Caenorhabditis elegans: one gene and its partners. The protein of the gene in region 3 purifies or fractionates together with the protein of the main gene of each other region. This does not show direct contact. Each region holds a gene or a part of one and is shown on either strand. Other genes may lie near its edges.

Evidence for each region.
Region 1: the proteins of lec-4 (region 3) and C47B2.2 fractionate together in Caenorhabditis elegans (co-fractionation; one large-scale study listed by BioGRID). This does not show direct contact.
Region 2: the proteins of lec-4 (region 3) and pfn-3 fractionate together in Caenorhabditis elegans (co-fractionation; one large-scale study listed by BioGRID). This does not show direct contact.
Region 4: the proteins of lec-4 (region 3) and F44D12.6 fractionate together in Caenorhabditis elegans (co-fractionation; one large-scale study listed by BioGRID). This does not show direct contact.

What each region holds. Positions count from the first base shown.
Region 1 is NC_003279.8:12,961,424-12,966,700, forward strand, and holds C47B2.2 (Phosphoribosyltransferase domain-containing protein), read right to left. Parts: upstream 3,157-5,277; 5' UTR 3,148-3,156; coding exon 2,981-3,147; intron 2,394-2,980; coding exon 2,152-2,393; intron 1,626-2,151; coding exon 1,544-1,625; intron 1,233-1,543; coding exon 1,028-1,232; 3' UTR 619-1,027; downstream 1-618. Other genes in the region: fbxa-140 (F-box domain-containing protein), read right to left, coding at 1-38; tba-2 (Tubulin alpha-2 chain), read right to left, coding at 3,391-3,523, 3,577-4,097, 4,148-4,840.
Region 2 is NC_003284.9:1,078,522-1,082,396, reverse strand, and holds pfn-3 (Profilin-3), read left to right. Parts: upstream 1-1,747; 5' UTR 1,748-1,771; coding exon 1,772-1,882; intron 1,883-2,483; coding exon 2,484-2,531; intron 2,532-2,577; coding exon 2,578-2,701; intron 2,702-2,753; coding exon 2,754-2,851; 3' UTR 2,852-2,967; downstream 2,968-3,875. Other genes in the region: LIM/homeobox protein lim-6, read right to left, coding at 3,058-3,167, 3,850-3,875. UniProt on the Caenorhabditis elegans protein: Binds to actin and affects the structure of the cytoskeleton. At high concentrations, profilin prevents the polymerization of actin, whereas it enhances it at low concentrations. By binding to PIP2, it inhibits the formation of IP3 and DG.
Region 3 is NC_003281.10:3,770,284-3,775,225, forward strand, and holds lec-4 (Galectin), read right to left. Parts: upstream 3,044-4,942; 5' UTR 2,978-3,043; coding exon 2,975-2,977; intron 2,776-2,974; coding exon 2,660-2,775; intron 2,516-2,659; coding exon 2,404-2,515; intron 2,359-2,403; coding exon 1,981-2,358; intron 1,482-1,980; coding exon 1,239-1,481; 3' UTR 1,142-1,238; downstream 1-1,141. Other genes in the region: acy-3 (adenylate cyclase), read right to left, coding at 4,888-4,942.
Region 4 is NC_003282.8:10,031,340-10,035,759, forward strand, and holds F44D12.6 (CDI domain-containing protein), read left to right. Parts: upstream 1-2,013; 5' UTR 2,014-2,023; coding exon 2,024-2,080; intron 2,081-2,219; coding exon 2,220-2,623; intron 2,624-3,003; coding exon 3,004-3,136; intron 3,137-3,186; coding exon 3,187-3,465; 3' UTR 3,466-3,541; downstream 3,542-4,420. Other genes in the region: msd-3 (MSP domain-containing protein), read left to right, coding at 4,299-4,420.

The DNA of each region.
Region 1 (5,277 bases), on a different chromosome or scaffold from region 3:
ACTTTCTTCATAACTTTCTCCATAACATCAACTGGCATGCTTAAAAGCGTAAGTGGTCTTTTCTTCGATCTGAAAATAAGCAAATTTTAAACTGAATCCGATGCAAATTTCATTTTAACACTAACAATTTAATCGATCCAGTTTCTTTGTCATTTCGACAATTCCACGAGATGAGCCAGTCATTTTGACAAATTACCTGAAAAATAGGAAATTTATTTGATTGATTCAGTTTTCAATCGTTTGAAGTGAAGAAAACAATAAGAAAATACGGATAAAGTGAAATATCTTTGTAAAATACGTTACCTAACGGTAAAATAACAAATTTTCCAGTAAATTTCGTGAAAACTGAAAATTTCTTTTCTGTCTAATAAATTTTCACAAATAAAAATCACAAAAACGACAGGAAAAATGCAAAAACTATGTTTGAAATTTTGAAAATCCAAAAACAATAAACTAGGAATTCTGTGCGTCAAATGAGATGCCCGGTACGCAAGTTGCGTACTCCGAGAACTACCGTAGTTTCGGAAACTTTTTTTGAAACGGCTAATTTTAACTTATTTTATTTTCAGAATATAATGAAAAAAAAACAATTTGCATGCAAAGTAGCAAATAGAATTTGAAATAAAACGTTTATTTTCGTAAAATTTCTTAAATTTGCAGTGAAAATCCAAAAAATGAGGAAAAATCTCACTCTCAACTTTGCGCGTAAAATATAGCGCCCTGTACGCACACCATGTACTCAGAAAATGACTACCGTAGTCATTGCATCTTAAAATAATGTTTAATGAACCGAAAACAACACAAAAGAATTTAGTTATGCGGAAATTCAATGAACATTTTGTCAAAAAAAAATAGGGGAAATCAACAGTGAAAAAGTAAAAAAGAAGACTACAATAACTACAAACTACAAACCAATAACGAGAAATGAAGAGATGATCAAGTGAGAAAAGTGAATAAAAATACTGCATTTGAAACGGAAACGATGTAGTTTGTAGTGTCAAAAGGCTACAAACTACACAAAACTAGTCTAGACAGCACCAAAATAGCTGGTTGAGAAATGATTTGGATAGAGAGATGTGATATCGGAGGCGACGACAGTGATATACGGGTACTTTCTGGTTATATTCTTGAGTCCAGTCGGTGAGATGAATAGGGAAACCAAGTAGATATTCTCATCTGGGACACGTGCCTCTTTTAGGACTTCAATTGCCTTGCAAACTGTCGTCCCAGATCTGAAAAATTGGAAATTTTGATAAAAATGTGATTTTTTAAATTTAAATGTTTCTTCAGTTAAAAAAATTTCAAAAAAAGATTTTTTTTGCACAAAAAAAAACTCAATTTTTTAGACAATTTTTCGCCTTCTGGGGAAGTTTTAGTGATCGACATTTTTAAAGTTTCTACGTCAAACAAATTATTGAATTTTACGATTTTTCGCCGGGAAAATCGATTTTTTGACATTAAATTTTGTGTTTTTTTTCTCAGATTTTTCAATCAAATTTATTTCGGCCAGATATTTTTTGTAGTTTGTAGTCTCTGAGCGTACCCTATCGTTGGGTAGAGCAGTAGAACTCGACGCGACGTGATATCCGGAAGAAGCCTGGCGTAGAGCACTTTTTGTTCGTCGCCTGTAACAAAAAGTGGATGAAAATTGGAAATTTTGCGAGTTTTGAGGTTTTTCTTTTAAAAAAGTATCGCCAGTTTTCGACAAACTCAGTAAAACTCACGATTTCTACCACTTTTCTGGGTAAAAACGCAAATTTTACTATTATATATATTTTTAATATATTTTTCAGGAATTTTACCATAAGAACAGTACATATTTATTACAGATTTAAAAAAAAAAACATTTTTCGGCTGAAAAAACGAGTTTCTCTACGAATTAGAGGTATTTTTGAAGGAAAAGTCAGACTTTTCACAGATTTTGAGGGGTATTCAGGAGAAAATCTATAAAAACTGGATATTCACCAGATTTTTCCATTTTTCAAGCAGAAATCTGCATTTATAAGAGATTCCAGGTAATTTCAGGGAGAAATTGATGAAAATCGCAATGATTTTGGTGATTTTTCGCCATTTTCTTCTATATTTCTCAATTTTCTTCGCCTTTTCTAGGAAATTTCCCAAATTCCTCTCGATATCCTCAATTTCCCGTACCAATCAGAATTTTTCCAATTCGAATACACCGACAACACTGTCTCAATGAAACTTCCATCGCCTCTCCACTTCTACACAACGATACTCCACAATTTCCACGATTAAATTGAATTCCTTCATATTTGAAGCCTGTTGGTGTGGTAACTGTGTGCTCAGTGAATGGAAGATGATTGAGACATTCTTCAATTACAAGCCGCATCAGACGATCCGCGTTGAATACGAAATCCGAGTGATTTGTTGATCTGGAAATTGGAAGATGGTTGAGGCTATGGGGCTACAAACTACAAACTACAAGATTCTCTGAGCCTCAACCAATTTTTACAAGGAAAACTTCTAAAATTGCGAGGAAATCACGAAAAATACCGTTTCGGACCCGGAAATTTATGAAAATATCGGAATTTTGACTCAAAATCCGAGAAAATCCTTGAAAAATTCATTTATATAAATAAATATATTCATGTTTTCTAACAAAAAAAAACGTTTTTTAATCAAAATTTCAGTTAATTTCACGGCAAAAAGGCCAAAAAATGAAAACGTTTTCTATTTTTCTCCTAATTTACTGGCAAAATCGCTTAAAATGCCGTTTCTGACCCGAAAATTTGTGAATTAACGGATTTTTAAAATCTAAATTCCAAGAAAATCGCTTTTTAAGGCAAAAAAGGAGTTTATTTAAAATCAACAAGTTTTTCCGGCAAAAATACCGAAAATCGTTAATTTTTCCGCAAAATCTGGAAAAAGAGCTTGGAAATATGAGTTTTCAGCCCCTTTCTTTAAATTTTCACCCATAAAATGTTTGAGGCTTCAGTCTATTCCCAGTCAAACTTCATACCTATCTTTCAAAATTGTCTGCAATTCAAGTATCTGTGGAGTCTTCTTCAAAAGAACAAAATTTGTTCCCTTCTCTTTCAGATTTGCCACCAACTGCCCGACACCGTCTTCCTCATCACCAACCTTTGGAATCACTGGAGCACATGTTCCATTCACATGCCCAGCCATTTCTGTAATCTAATACTGATCGATGAGCAGAACAAGCGTCTGCTGCTCAAATACTGTCGGCTTGTACATGTTTGCTCTGCGGCACTCAACTCGGTATAAACGTAAAGTGTTCCGACTTTCATTCTTTCTCTTTTTAACAAAAAACATTATATAAATAAAATACTTCATAATACATTGTTTATGACGATCGAACTGCAGTAATAAATTAAAAGTCAATCGCCAGGCAGTTGATTGTGGGAGCATCTAGTACTCCTCTCCCTCCTCTTCTCCTCCCTCGTTGGAGTCAGCTCCGACCTCTTCGTAGTCCTTCTCGAGAGCAGCCAAGTCCTCACGAGCCTCGGTGAACTCTCCTTCCTCCATACCTTCTCCGACGTACCTGAAAAGAAACACATTGAATATTTGAAAAGTATAGTTTAACGGGCAACATACCAGTGGACGAAGGCACGCTTGGCGTACATCAAGTCGAACTTGTAGTCGAGACGAGACCAGGCCTCAGCGATGGCGGTAGTGTTGGAGAGCATGCAGACGGCGCGTGGCACCTTGGCAAGATCACCTCCTGGCACAACAGTTGGTGGCTGGTAGTTGATTCCGACCTTGAATCCGGTTGGGCACCAATCGACGAATTGGATGGTTCTCTTGGTCTTGATTGCAGCGATGGCGGTGTTAACGTCCTTTGGAACGACGTCTCCTCTGTACAAGAGGCACACAGCCATGTACTTTCCGTGACGTGGATCACACTTGACCATCTGGTTAGCCGGCTCGAAGCAGCTATTGGTGATGTCGCTGACGGACAGAGCCTCGTGGTAGGCCTTCTCAGCAGAGATGAGTGGAGTGTAGGCGGCCAATGGGAAGTGAATTCTTGGGTATGGCACCAAGTTGGTCTGGAACTCGTTGAGATCAACGTTGAGGGCTCCATCGAATCTCAAGGAAGCAGTGATTGAGGAGACAACCTGTAAAAAGAGAACATTAGAATACAACAATCAAATTGAGCTCAACAAACCTGGGAGATGATTCTGTTGAGGTTGGTGTAGCTTGGTCGCTCAACATCCAAGTTTCTGCGGCAGATGTCGTAGATGGCCTCGTTATCGACCATGAAGGCGCAGTCGGAGTGCTCCAAGGTGGTATGGGTGGTGAGGATCGAGTTGTATGGCTCAACGACGGCGGTTGAGACCTGTGGAGCTGGGTAGATGGAGAACTCGAGCTTGGACTTCTTTCCGTAGTCGACGGAAAGACGTTCCATAAGAAGCGAAGTGAATCCGGATCCGGTACCTCCTCCGAAGGAGTGGAAGACGAAGAATCCTTGGAGTCCACTGCAGTTATCAGCGAGACGACGGATCCTGTCGAGGACGGTGTCGATGAGCTCCTTTCCGACGGTGTAGTGTCCACGAGCGTAGTTGTTAGCGGCGTCTTCCTTTCCGGTGATCATCTGCTCTGGATGGAAGAGCTTCTTGTAGGTTCCAGTGCGAATCTCGTCAACGACAGTTGGCTCGAGATCGACGAAGATGGATCTTGGAACGTAACGGCCGGATCCGGTGTCTGAGAAGAAAGTGGTGAACGACTCTCCCTCGTTCGTTGATTGAGTTGGCATGGTTCCATCGGGCTGGATTCCGTGCTCGAGGCAGTAGAGCTCCCAGCAGGCGTTTCCGATTTGGACTCCGGCTTGTCCGACGTGGATAGAGATGACCTCACGCATTTTCTTTTCTGAAAAAGAAAATTATAAAGTTTTAAAAGAGAAAGACAATTGTTATATGAGAACGAAACGATTGCGGTGAGAGCAGAGACGAAAGTGAGCCCAAATAGGGCCGAGAACGCACGAGCGCGCGCGCTCTCTCAACATAGCCCAACATCGGACACCGCGGTGGACAAGTCATCGATTGCAAAAAAATGATGACGAAATAGCGGGGCGCCAGTGGAGAGCGGATTGAAATGAGTGCAAAGGAGTGGACTGCAAGGGAGCCAAAACCCCGTTGTAAGAGACCCAGAGAATAACAATGGGAATTTCGCAATTCCCAATGGGATTACTTTGAGTCATTTTGAAACATACGTGCTTTCGGAGATTAATCAAGGAAGATGCAGCAGAAAACCGTCTTGTGAAATCGCAAAATGATTTGAAAATGTTGAATTTCAACT
Region 2 (3,875 bases), on a different chromosome or scaffold from region 3:
GAGCCGTCCTAAAAAGCATCCTTATGTTTCAGCGTGCAAGCCGCAAATCAAAAATTCGACATTGATCTCATTAGACACTTTCCTTGCAAATCAATCAATAGTTTTTGAAATTTCGATGGCCGTCGGTGAGCGGGGCTATCCGTTTCCCTTTCTCTCTCTTGAATGTTTTCGTCGCGTCAGTGGAACCTGCAGATAAAGCAAATGAGAGAAAAAGACATAGAGCAAACGACAGCTTTACACTATGATTGTCGAGTTCTGCCCCGGGGATAGGCTCTCCTCTGCCACAGCGACTCCTCTCCCGCCCTTCATCTATCTGCGGTACTTCATTCCCCCGTACACTGTTCCAATCGGCGCGCGCTCTCTTCAGGATCAACACACTGTTCTCACACACACACACACGGGAGGCAAGGAGACAAACTGGTGTCTTACGGCTATTGAGCGGCAATTCAGTCTTAGTCTCACATTTTATGTCCAACAGAGGCTCAGCGAGCAACGAACCCCACGCAAATATCTTCCGATCTCTTTGCGTCCCGGTTTTGAAACGAACGTTTATTGAAACTTTTTGAAAGTTAGATTTCTCACTTTTTGTTAATTTTTTCGAATTGTTTTTATTTATGACGTCTTCCCCATATTGCCGTATTTTCTGAAAATATCAAAAAGTGGTAAATTGCAAAACTGACCAAAAATGAAAATTTTGTTAAGAAATAATTTACCTGCTGTGGCTCTAAAGTCTTTTATATATGTTTTTTTCGAATACTACATTTAATGTAACAAAACTGGTGTGCGTGTACGTGAAAATCTTGAAATTTAGTAGGCATCCACTTTGAGGATAATTTTCTGAGGAAATGCCAAAAATCAGCACCCCAAATGATATCATGGCCGGACATCTACCGGGATTCGGTCTTGCAATAAGCTAACTCACTACTGATGGAAGCACAATGCGGAGCGTAACCCGGTAGATGTCGAGTCATGATAACACTTCTGGTCCCGGTTTTTACAGTATTCCTAAAAGTAACTATCCAATTGTGGGTATTTCAAATTTAAGGATAAAAATACTGGGCCTATTCTTTCTATCTTTTTTTGAATCTCAGACAGGTTTTAGATTTGAGACCTTTCTAGTTAACCTCAATAATTAAATTCTCCAGTACTGGTAACAAGAAATCTCAAGGTTTTTTATTTGCTCTGTAATTCTTGGCTCAAACTCAAACTTTCACTGATTTCAATATTGATGTTAAGCACCTGGTCGTATTAATTTAATGTTGCTATAATGCTTTGTAAAAGTTGAGAAATTTGAAGGTGGCACAAATTTGTAGAAAATTTTACGTCATTTTCTAAAACAAAACTGCTATAAAAATAACTGCCGCTTTCCATCTAAAAGTATCCGCTGAAAATTCTAATAATATTTTATAGACATCGAATTACCTAACAACGAATTATAAAAAAAATTTTGTTGTAAAACCAAGTTTTAGCTTCTATAAAACCAAGTTTTAGCTTCTCCTAAGCAGGTAGTTAGACCTGATTTCATAATCGTTTACCAGACATGCGATCAGATATCTAATCAACATGTGTTCATTACTCATCTCTCCAAACTGCTATTTCAAAATAATTTCTTCATGATTTTTTGGAAAACGTCAGAAACCAAGCGTCATCTGTTTCCATATCTCTCTCTCTTTCTCCCACGCACTGCACAATTGTGCCCCGTTTTCCACGTTTTGAGCTTCTAGACTTTCACTTTTACTTTCAAAGTTTTCAGCACACACAAAACGAAAACATGTCGTGGTCTGATATTATCAACAATAACCTTATCGGGTCTGGAAATGTGAGCAAGGCTGCCATTCTTGGATTCGACGGAGCTGTATGGGCAAAGAGTGATAACTTTAATGTAAGTTTTCAAAGTTTTTAAAATTGTCAAGTTGCCAAAATCTCGACTTTCAGTGGCATGATCAGCTTGTGATTGGTGTTAGAACTTTTTTGAGATATTAAAACTGGAAAGGACTTGCAATTTTCTTAGGCTAGAATTCTAGGTATTTCTCTAGGAATGCAACTCCTGGTCGATACACCACCTCTCTTTGAATCTCATCTCTGATCTAAAAACACTGTAAACTTCTATCAAAATCTATATTTTGTCTGCACCAGTTTTGAAAGATTAGTACATGGTGCATTGACAGATAATGAACAAATACCGCCTGCGTGAGTTTTGTTACTGAAAGCATATTTAGCTTGTTATAAAAATAGTCTTCATGTAGGAAAGGTGTGTTGGTGTACTGTAGAAGTACTTTAGTGTTACTATTGTTCAAAAATACGTTTTATCTATTGAAGGAATCGTCGGTGAAGATGGTGTAGGAATATTGTAGTGTAGGATTATTTTAGTCCTAAAAATAAGGTTTCGTTATTTTTTGGAAAACATAAGTTGAGGCTAGAGTCGGGGCACTGAGCACTGTAGTAGATCAAGCAGTACAATTTGAATAGTAACGTATTTCCAGATCTCCGTCGAAGAAGCCGTCGCCGCAGGAAAAGCCTTCACCTCCTTGGTACCTTTTGCTTCTCTTAATATCATTCTCACCCTCTAATTTTCAGGATGCTCTTCTTGGAACCGGCCTCCGCTTGGAAGGACAAAAATTCTTGGTCCTCAACGCAGATAATGACAGAATAATTGGAAAGCAAGGAGGATCTGGATTTTTCATCTACAAAACTATCCAAGGTGAACTAACTAGGATTACTAGACTGATTTAAACAATCTCTGAAACTTTTAGCCGTTATTATTTCCATCTACGAGAAAGGACTCCAACCAGAAATGTGCAGCAAGACCACCGGAGCCCTGGCCGATTACTTCAGGTCCATCAAGTACTGATCACAATTCCCGAAGCCTCCTGCCGATTTGCCATCCATGTTTGCATTTTTTTTTTTGTATTTTTTCATTTCGTTTCTTTTTTATATAAATAAATAATGAAATAAATATTTATCTTTCTCAAAATTCAAAAAAATAGCAACTCGAAATAAATAATATGAGGTGAAAAGCAAAATAAAGCGGGTGGTTTGATTTCCGAACAAAAAAAGTCAAGAGTGATATGGAAAATAAATTTGGGAAGATGTCATATTATACAGTTTTTGAATTGGGTCCGTGTAGCTTGAAGTTTCCGAAGTCTCCACCTCGTCAGCGTCCAGGTCTGAATTTTTTTTTTGATAAGAACAATTGTTTGAATTCTAGAAGTCTATAGTTTTAGCCCTTTTGGTTCAGCTATCCGGGACTGACCAACTGAACAATTATGTAAAAGTATAGTGAAGCTTAGGCCGATCTTGCTGCAAATTTCGAGTTGGGCCTGCATCGCCCGACACCTCACCGGTTATACAAATCTATAGGAATTCACCTGGCATGGTTAGCCGACACAAGCACGGACCGTATCGGCTAGCCGTACCATGTGTACTACGCGTGAAGCCTTCTTGAATTTGATTGTTTTAAGGTTCGCAATTTTGCCGGGCTCGGGAACCCTCATATTCCCAAAACGTGGATCAATCTATTTTACACCGGATTGCTAGTCAAGAAAAGATTGACCAATTTAACCGGACTAACATAAGTGTTTTCGGCGTGCAAAGATTAGAGCTCTGACCGGGCTTCTCAAAATTGCCGATTGTTAGAAACTTTCAGCATCACCTGTGGTCTAACTAGGTATTCGAGAATAGACAAAAATGGTGTAGTTTAGACTGATATACACCAGGCGTGTGTAATGTTTCTTTTGTACCTATAGCTCTCGATACATTACGGAACAAACTTTCTAACTTTTTGAAAAACTGATTTCAATTTGTAAAGCCACAACTCGCCAATATCTATACCTATTCTCTTCAACTTACTTATCACAGACTCTTCCTCATCATCA
Region 3 (4,942 bases):
TGTTCGTACCAGTACTAGTATTTAAATAAAAGATTTTTTCAAGTTTTAAGTGCTTTCAGAATTTAATCACAAAATTGTTCTATTTCCCAGAAGCTTCCAGTTCAATAAAAAAACTGACCTACAGGCATATAAATAACCACATTTTTTATTGGGTGATCTTGATAATTTTTAAAAATTAAAAATTAATATACGACTTGACAGACAAAAAATAGATTGACAGACGAAAAATAGATTGACAGACGAAAAAATAGATTGACAGACGAAAAAATAGATTGACAGACGAAAAATAGATTGACAGACGAAAAATAGATTGACAGACGAAAAATAGATTGACAGACGAAAAATAGATTGACAGACTAAAAATAGATTGACAGACGAAAAATAGATTGACAGACTAAAAATAGATTGACAGACGAAAAAATAGATTGGCAGACGAAAAATAGATTGACAGACGAAAAAATAGATTGACAGACGAAAAAATAGATTGACAGACGAAAAAATAGATTGACAGACGAAAAAATAGATGAGGCCCCACGAAAAGGGGAGCAGAACGAAAAGGGGATCTGCAAAAAGGGGATCTGCGAAAAGGTGAGATACGAAAAGGGGAGCTGGTACTGTGCCAAACGCACAAAACGCTTTTTTATTCTCATTCAACGCACGACTTTTTTTGTATTTTACGCTAAACAACACATTGTCTCGAAGTTGTCACCACATTTTTTATTGGGTGATTTTGTTAATTTTAATAACTTTGAAAATTAGTATCTGCCTTAAAATGAACTTTTTTGAAACTGTTTCGTCGGGGACTTGTTTCAAATTGTAAGCGCTTTCAGAATTTAATTAAAAAAATTTTCTAGATGCCAGGAGCTTCCAGTTCAATCAAAAAAACCCAATTTCAGGCATATAAATAACTCAATTTTTTTCCAAACTACAATACTCCTACAGCATTCATACAGTACTTCTACAGTACTACAGCTCCCTGTTCCTACAGTACTACTACAGTACCCTGACCATATCTCCCCCCTAACCCTTAACCAATATCCCTTCAAAACTTTGCAGACTACAAAGACTACATAGACTACAAACTATGGACAGACGAACTGAATTTTTCAATATATAAGTAATGTTAATACATACAAATAAAAATCAATTCGAATTTATTTTTAAAAAAGCAAGAAGATTATTTAATTTACATATTAATTGTTATACATTATGCAATTATTTCCCAGAAAACGCGAAATTTAATGCGAAAACTCAATACCAGTGACCTCAACCTCTCCATCAATTCTGAGTCCAATGTAGTCACCAATTGGATTCTGGGTACGGTGCTGGAAAGTTCCGAAGCGTTCGCGATTGATGAAGATTTGAATGGAATATTCTTCGTTGACAATGGTCAAATCGAATCCGACGTCCTTCTTGAATGGGAATCCACCTTCACGTTCCTCGGTGTCCCAGAATCCATTACGGTGAGAGTTACGGACGACCTAGAAGAAAAACATGGTGAATTCAAAATGATAATTATGTGGGGAACACGTAGAGGGAGAGGGACCTAATTTTTTTGATTATAGGGAAAAGTTAAATCAAATTTTTTAAAGTTTCTTTATTGTAAAAAATATTTTTTTTTTACTGTTTCGAATTTTTCTATTTTTATTTTCTTTCAGAAACACCAATTATTAGTCGAAAATTGAAAATCGTAAAGGAGAACTTGTGTTTTTGTAATTTTTTTAAACTACTAAAATCAGAATATTATCGGAAATCTCAGTTTTTTTCGATTTGCAAAAATAATTTTTTAAACATTTATTAATGCAAAACAATTAAGACACTGAGAGTACCAAACTTATCAGAATTGTTTTCAAAAACTAAAAAACAACTGTTTCAATAAATTGTTTAAATCTCGAATTTTCGATTTTGAAGAGAAAAAACGCGCAAAATCAAAATGCAAAAAACTTGAGCAGCCGACACTTCCCGAGTGCCAAAACTCACCGCCTTATCCTTGATTCTTGGATTGAAATGGAACAAAATATCCTGATTACGAGCGACCAAATCAAGTGACCAACGATCACCCTTTGGAATACCATACAAATGAACACGTTGTCCCTTTTCAAGAAATCCAGCTGGGAATGCGGTCTCCCATGGAAGTTTATAGAATCTTCCACCCCAATGAATTCCATTCAAGGAAAGGTCACCACGAACAGAAAGATATTCAATGGATTGGAATGGAAGACGATGTTTGAACTCGTGGATCTTCTTGTTGTCAGCCGAGATTTCAAGGCCTTCGTCGAGAACTCGGATGCGAAGATCGAATTCTTGTCCAGCTTGGAATGGAAGAGACTCGCGCTCTTCTTTTCCCCACACTCCATTCTGAAAATCACGGGATTAAAGTTATATATTTCTAGTAAAATGTACCTCGTAAGAGTTGAGAATAACTTTCTTTTCCTTAAAATTGAGCTTCAAGTGGAGGATCACTTGGGTGTTTGGTCCAATTTCACCACCTCCCTGGAGAAGATTGATCTCGGCTCTGAAATATGGCTTGTTTCAAAAGTTCACCTAAAATATGATACATTCAGTGCTTTTTATTGCCTGCCTCCAGGCACCAGACAGAAAAAATGTAGGCACGTAGGTAGGCACCTAGTCAGCTAATAGGAAAACCCCCTGAACTTACACCTGTGCTCCCTCGTTGATCTTTCCGTGAACATTCAATGTCTGTCCAGCGTCGAGTGGTTGTCCGAGACGAGACGTGTACGGAACTGGGAGAGGGGTGTCGTTCTCGTGAGAGCTCTAAAAGGAGCGTTTTATTTTTTGTGAAAATTATTTTAAATCGTTGAATGTTAAATTTCAAAATCCAAATTAGATATTAAAACTTTTAACTACAACAATAACGGTTGAATATGTTTTACAAGTTATAAATTTTATGAATACTTTTTTTTAGATAAATCTGACATCTAGTTCAAAAAATTTCAATATTTTCTAGACTTACCATTTTTGGATAGCAGTCGATATAGCGTGTCAACAGCAATGAAGACTAACTTTCAAGTCAGAGGCCGACCTGGAAAGAGGCGGGCTAACTTGTGGACAAACAGACGAGAGAGTAAGAGAAACAAGAGATTGGAAAATGAAATGCCGAAGGACAAAACGAAAAACAAAAAATATCGGGTAAACAAGAGATTGGCAGAGAAAAAGAGTGTTTGTGTTCTTTTGAATTTTTTGGGGGATAGGTGGTCGCTGAGCGCGGAGGACAATAAAAGTGTTTGAACTGCACTGAGACTGAGAACTGATGAAATTTCAAAAGGATGGTGAGTAATATGCGAAGTGATGTATAGTGATATTGTGATATGAAAAGAAAAAACAATTTGAACTCTGAACTCTATAGGACTTTTGAAATACTCCAGTTTCAGCAATCTGTATCTCTGTAATCTTTAGTTTTACCAAAAAAATTTTCAACAGCCAATTTACGCATCTAGTTGTTATCTATATTTCAATAGTTGAAAATTTTTTAATATCTTCAAAAACAGCCGAGATATAAGCTTATAAAGTTGAGCAGATTAGAAAAAAGGGGAAAATTTTTCTAACTGAGATATTCGTTTCAAAAATTTTTTTAATGTTAAAAAAATGTTTTTTACTCAAAAAATTTCAAAAATTATTTTTAGATTAAAAAAATTACAAGAAACTCAAATTCTCAACTTCATTTTTATCAAAATTCCAAAAACTTATTGAAAACATATTTTACAATTATTACAAAAACATGAAAAAAATCTGCTAATATTCTACAAAAATTTCAAAACAAAATAGTAGATCAGATTTTTTAACACTTTCATAAACAGACTGACGACACCCTTTCTCAAATCGTAAACAATATGTTTTCAGAACAATTAAAGGTGAGTCAAGAGGGCAATAAACATGTAAAACTGTAAAAATTGCCGGCTTTTGGTCATCTCGTTTCAGAAAAACGGGAATTTTTTTTAGAATGGTTTTTGATATGATCATTAAATTCAACTTACAGTTCTTATTGGTAATAATATTTTAACTGGTTAAAAAAGGAAATAATCTACATACATAATTCGAATTTTTAATTTACAATTTTAAAACTACTTCAAAGAGAGCTGAGATAAAATCTGTTGAAATTATGATCAGAAGTCATATTTCAAATTGAAGTAACTTATCTGCTTGCTTGATGCCTACCTGCCGCCTGCCTCGCAAGTTTTTTGTAAGCAAAAGTCAAGTTTAGGTAGCTTCAGGCGTCTACTTTTGCTGTTCAAAATGCTCCTCTCATGCTATTTTGCTACTTTTCTGTTGGTAATCCCTCTAGATTTCTCATCAAATTGCAGTCATATAGGCGGTTGGAAAGTGGGCAGAAAATTATTAAGCAGGCAGGTAGGCATCAGGAACCATGGACGTCTTACTTCATCTAAATAATGCTCAGAACTCCGTTGTCACCTGTCGAAAAAAGTTCAAAAAGCTATCCATTTCAACTAGTGGCAGTTCATCTCCGTTTCCTCTTCCGTCTCAGTTTTAAATTCAAAAAGTGACCCTGACACTGACTCATGTTTCTTTTCCACCTCTTCTCCCTGGCCTTTTGTCGGCGACTTTATGTTTGTGTGGTTTGAGGGCCAAATTTGAAAAATATTCATTTTGAAAACTAATTAGCACCGCGTATCGCAGAGAACAATTAAGTATTGCATAACAATAAAGTATACCGGGATACAAAAAAGGGAAGGCAACAAGTTGAGCAAAAATATATTGGTACTTTTTTGAGAGACCCGTTTTTAGAATCGGTGAGGATTTTGAGGAGAAACATAGAGATTCAGGTAGAGGTGAGGCTATCAGGTAGGCATGCCTACCTGAAAGACCTAGAGAATAGTAAGAAACATATATTTGAAAAAAATGAAATGATTAGTCCTGATCAATATCATCAAATGTTGAAAGTTGAAAGTCTCCGAAATTGTTT
Region 4 (4,420 bases), on a different chromosome or scaffold from region 3:
CATGGGCATAATCGAACTACTCGTAGCGTCTCTTTTAATACATCGCTGCATACTGATAATTGCTGCGGTAACGCGCCCAAGATCTCCTTTGAATGTTATGTGTGCATTGAATTCGGCTGAAAACGTTTGTTGTTCATGTTGTAATAATCAAATAACGTACGAATTGTGTCATTGTCCTCCAAAATAATCATTGCTCCCAATCGGTCAGTCAGACGTTGAACTTCTCTCGCTATATCCAACTCGTTTTGTCTTAGAAGACATTTTTTGTAAGCTAACTTGACACTAATTTCTTTCTTCTCCAATTTTGATTTTTTCACATTGAATACTTCGTCTTGCAGAACTCTTTTCATACTCTGTAAAAACAAATTGTTTGTAACTACTATACATTCAATTAGACTTCTCAGGACAAATTAACCTGAAGAGCTCTCAGATTTGATTGTTTCTATGTATAACAGATAAATGCGCCGCCTCATTTTGTTTTTTGTAATAATTGTTACCCATCTAATGTATTTTGACAGTTAAAAATTACATAGAAACATTTTCCGTCATCGAATCCCAAATTTACCTACTCTCCCCCTCCCCTCCAGAGAAATCAAAGGTAAATAGGTCACGTAAACCAGGGCTGTGCGGCAACCGGGATTTTCGGCAACCGGCAATTGCCGAAGTTGCCGAACCCGAAAATTTTCGGCAACCGGCAACTTTCGATTACCGAAATTTCGGGAAACTTTTCGGCAACCGGCCACCAAGTTTTAAAGATTTTTATATTTTTGAGCGTTTTGGCAAAAAGTAATGGTCGTTTTCTCATTTACGGCGAAATATTATCATTTTTCAGGCTCTCCGAATGCTTTTTTTGAGCTACAGAATGTTTGACATTGATATCGGCAGTTACCGAAGTTGCCGAAAAAAGTTCGGCAATTGCCGAAGTTGCCGAACCCCAAAATTTTCGGCAACCGGCACTTGCCGAAGTTGCCGATTCCAAAAAATTTCGGCAACTGGCAACTCGGTTGCCGGTTGCCGCACAGCCCTGACGTGAACGTGAATGTTTCTTTTTTTAATTCTTGTTTTTAGAGCACTTTAACGTTGATGAAAACTAATGGTTCATATGAAAAAATGTTCACCCTATCAGCCTTTTCTCACTCAAACCCCCTCGACCTTGCCAAGGAGGGTCGTTTTTGAAAATCAAAATGTTCAAAAAAATTGTCACAAAAATTGCAAAATATTGCTGACACTTTTTTTGAGCATTTATAACACGAGTTTAAGTGAACCAATTTGCGCTTTTTTTGTTGCTTCTTTCTGTTCCAAAAACATTGCCCTGTATGGTCATCTAATTGGGGTATCATGATTTAGCGGTTGTTATTCACTCAAGCTTAAGAACCAGGTGTGAGGACCGCAGGCCAGAATACTCTTGGAAACTGTGGGCCGGCTTCAACCATATTCCAAGCAAAGCAGCCATTTTTTTCGGGCACATCCCATAACCGAAGGCCCTGCCGCACTAGTCGCCAATAATCGCGCGGAATAATTAAAGTTGTTGCGTAGAATTTCCATAATTTTCACATAAATAATTGAGAGCCGGTTGGCTTTTATACTTAAAATTTTGTGATTCATCTTATCTGATATCAATTTAAAATAGTGTGGCAGGTGATTAGGTGAGGCATCTGACCATCCAATCTTTGCTCACGAATGCAGTAATCAATTGTGTGAATGCGATCGAAAATTTGTGGAGTGTTGAGCAAAGTATCCGGAGCCAACAGGAGAGCTAAAGTGCCCACACCCCAGGCTCTCCCGTTTTTTGCTGAAATTGCAGAAGTTGAGCTAATTTTTTTTGAAATTTAAAAAATTAGGTAATTTGTAAACACGATATTTCGGGTAAAAACACTTTTTTAAACTTTTGGGTTTTCATTCTGGCAAAAAAAACGTGGTCACACTTCTAATTATCACGTTTAATCTTCCCCTCCCCCTCTCTCACTTTAAATAAAAAAGGAAAAAAAAGAGAAATATTCAATTATTTCTATTGTTTATCATCATGGATGTCTTCGATATTTTGATAAGTCAATATTGGACATTCCTGTCTGTTTTTCTGGTGAGTTTTAAAACCTTTTAGATATTGTTTTTACACAGTAGATGTGTTGGCATCATGCGCACATCGAAAATTGAATGTGTAAAGAATCCGTTATAATTTCAGAAAGTCTGTAAAATTATAACTAAACTTAACATTTCAGATTAGCATTTTAATGACAATTTGTGGCGGAAAAGTGCGCAGACAAAACTCGAAACCATCGAACGAAGACCAACAACAGCAACCTGTGTCTGAGCCAAACTACGATAAAACTCAAGATATCCAAACAGTTGAACTTCAAGAGGATCCACTTGCAAATGTTCGTCTTCTAACACCAACACTTCCTGGTGGATGTAATGATGAGAATGCGGCAAAAGAAGCTGCGCTCCGTCATAAAACCAATCAATACTTCCCAAAGTGGGAAATCCAAACACGGAGAATAACGAATGGGACCACGAAGGAAGAGATGAAGAAGATGGTTGCGCAATTGCCACAACATCCGAAACAACGGTACAGGAAGGAGTTGAGAGTTCCCGTGTTGGATAAGAGAAACGAAAAATGGAAAGAGTTAGTTTATCACAATTACAGATTTCAACGCGAAGATGCCTAAGCCTTAGCCAATGCCTACGCCTAAGCTGATATATCTTCATGCCTACATGCCTGCCTACATGCCTACATTCTTTTCTGATTTCCCGCTACCTGCCCTCGACCACCTGCTACTTCCCGGATAATCCTCTCGAAAGAAGTGTCTGCCTGCTTAGTGCCTACAAAGCGTAACTTTCCTGGAAGGCAGCACTTTTTTCAGAAGCCTTCTGATTTCACCCTAGTTTTGTATTGAGAGATGTTTAAGATACTGTCAATAATTGCCTAGAAATTGCCTAAGATAACCATTCGAGCTCGGCATGCGTGCCTGCCTATCTACCTACAATTGCAATTCTCAATTTCAGCGCCCATGTTCATTGGCGAGAGACTGGTTTGGCCTTTATTATCCGAAGCAATGATGCATGCCGATCGAAAGATGATGGAGGTTGTGACACGATCGATAGCCAAAATAGTAAAGAAGACCAGGAAAGATCGAAGGTTTGAATCAATTATTATTCATATGTGAAAAAATCTTGAAAATCTTCCAGGTGAACTCTGAAATGCCGTTGTCCGACAAGAAGCCCGACCGAAAACCGCAAGAAACACCTCGTCGCAGCAAACAACGGACTCCTGGTCCAATGATGCCTACTCAAAAATCATCCAAAAAATCAGCAAAAGAACGGAAATTGGAGCCAACTCAGGAGGAGACCATGAAGAGCGGCGGCGGTGGTGCAAAATCGGGACGAACTACTCCAAAGACAGCTGGAATGGCAACTGCAAATGCACCTTCGAATACAGAATCTGGAAAGTCGGTGTTTTCTGTTTGATTGTGATAATCTTGAATAATGGGATTTTGTTTAAATTGTTTTTTTTCAATTCAATTCAACAATAATTCAACAATAACAACAAAGTGAAGAAAGGGGAAAAATCAACAAAATAACAAAAAATTGATTCACACAACCAATGAAACGTTCTTCCCATCAGTAACCGCCGCACATTTTTGAAGTTTCTCATTTAAAATCGACTTGCACCAGCTGCGGAGAGCTCTTCAATTATGGCTTTTTCAGCTTTTTTCGTGGCAGCTGTTTCCTTCTTTACCGCTACGGCTGCTTCTTTTGGAGACTGGAAATTTTTTTATGAAATGTCTTCCCGTGAAAAAGTGTTCATTGTATTTTTCGAATATCCGCTGCAACCGGGTACTCCTTTCTTGACAAAAAAAATCGCGTATCTCAAAGTAACTCCTTTAGTGTCTATTAGTCAACAACTCAAGTAATTCCGAACCTTTAAAAGTGACATTCCAACTGAACACGTCATTGTTAGTTGACGCCAGTTAGCGGTGAATTTTTCATGTTATAGAAAATATATTTAATGACTTATTTATTTTAAATCCTTATATACATCGGAAAAAAACCTTTTTAAATTTACAAAAATATTTTTTTTTCTATATTTTTATTTTTTCCTTAACCTCTTCCACGTCTTCTCGAGAGCGTAAATAACTTTTAAAAAACTATATTTTCAAAAGGGAGCAGACAGTTGATATTAACAAACCTTTTTAAATTTACAAAAATATTTAAAATCAAAAGTTCACGAAAGGTCACTGGTTCATCTTGATAACGACTGCTATTCAGTTTATACAACTTTAACATAAAGTTTCAAAAAGATGTCTCTGACGGCCGATCCACCAGCGTGCACTGTTCCAGCTGCTGGAGGTGCTTCTACCCACAAACTTGTCAATGCTGGAGCTGAGAAGATGATCTTCAAGATCAAGTCTTCAAACAACAA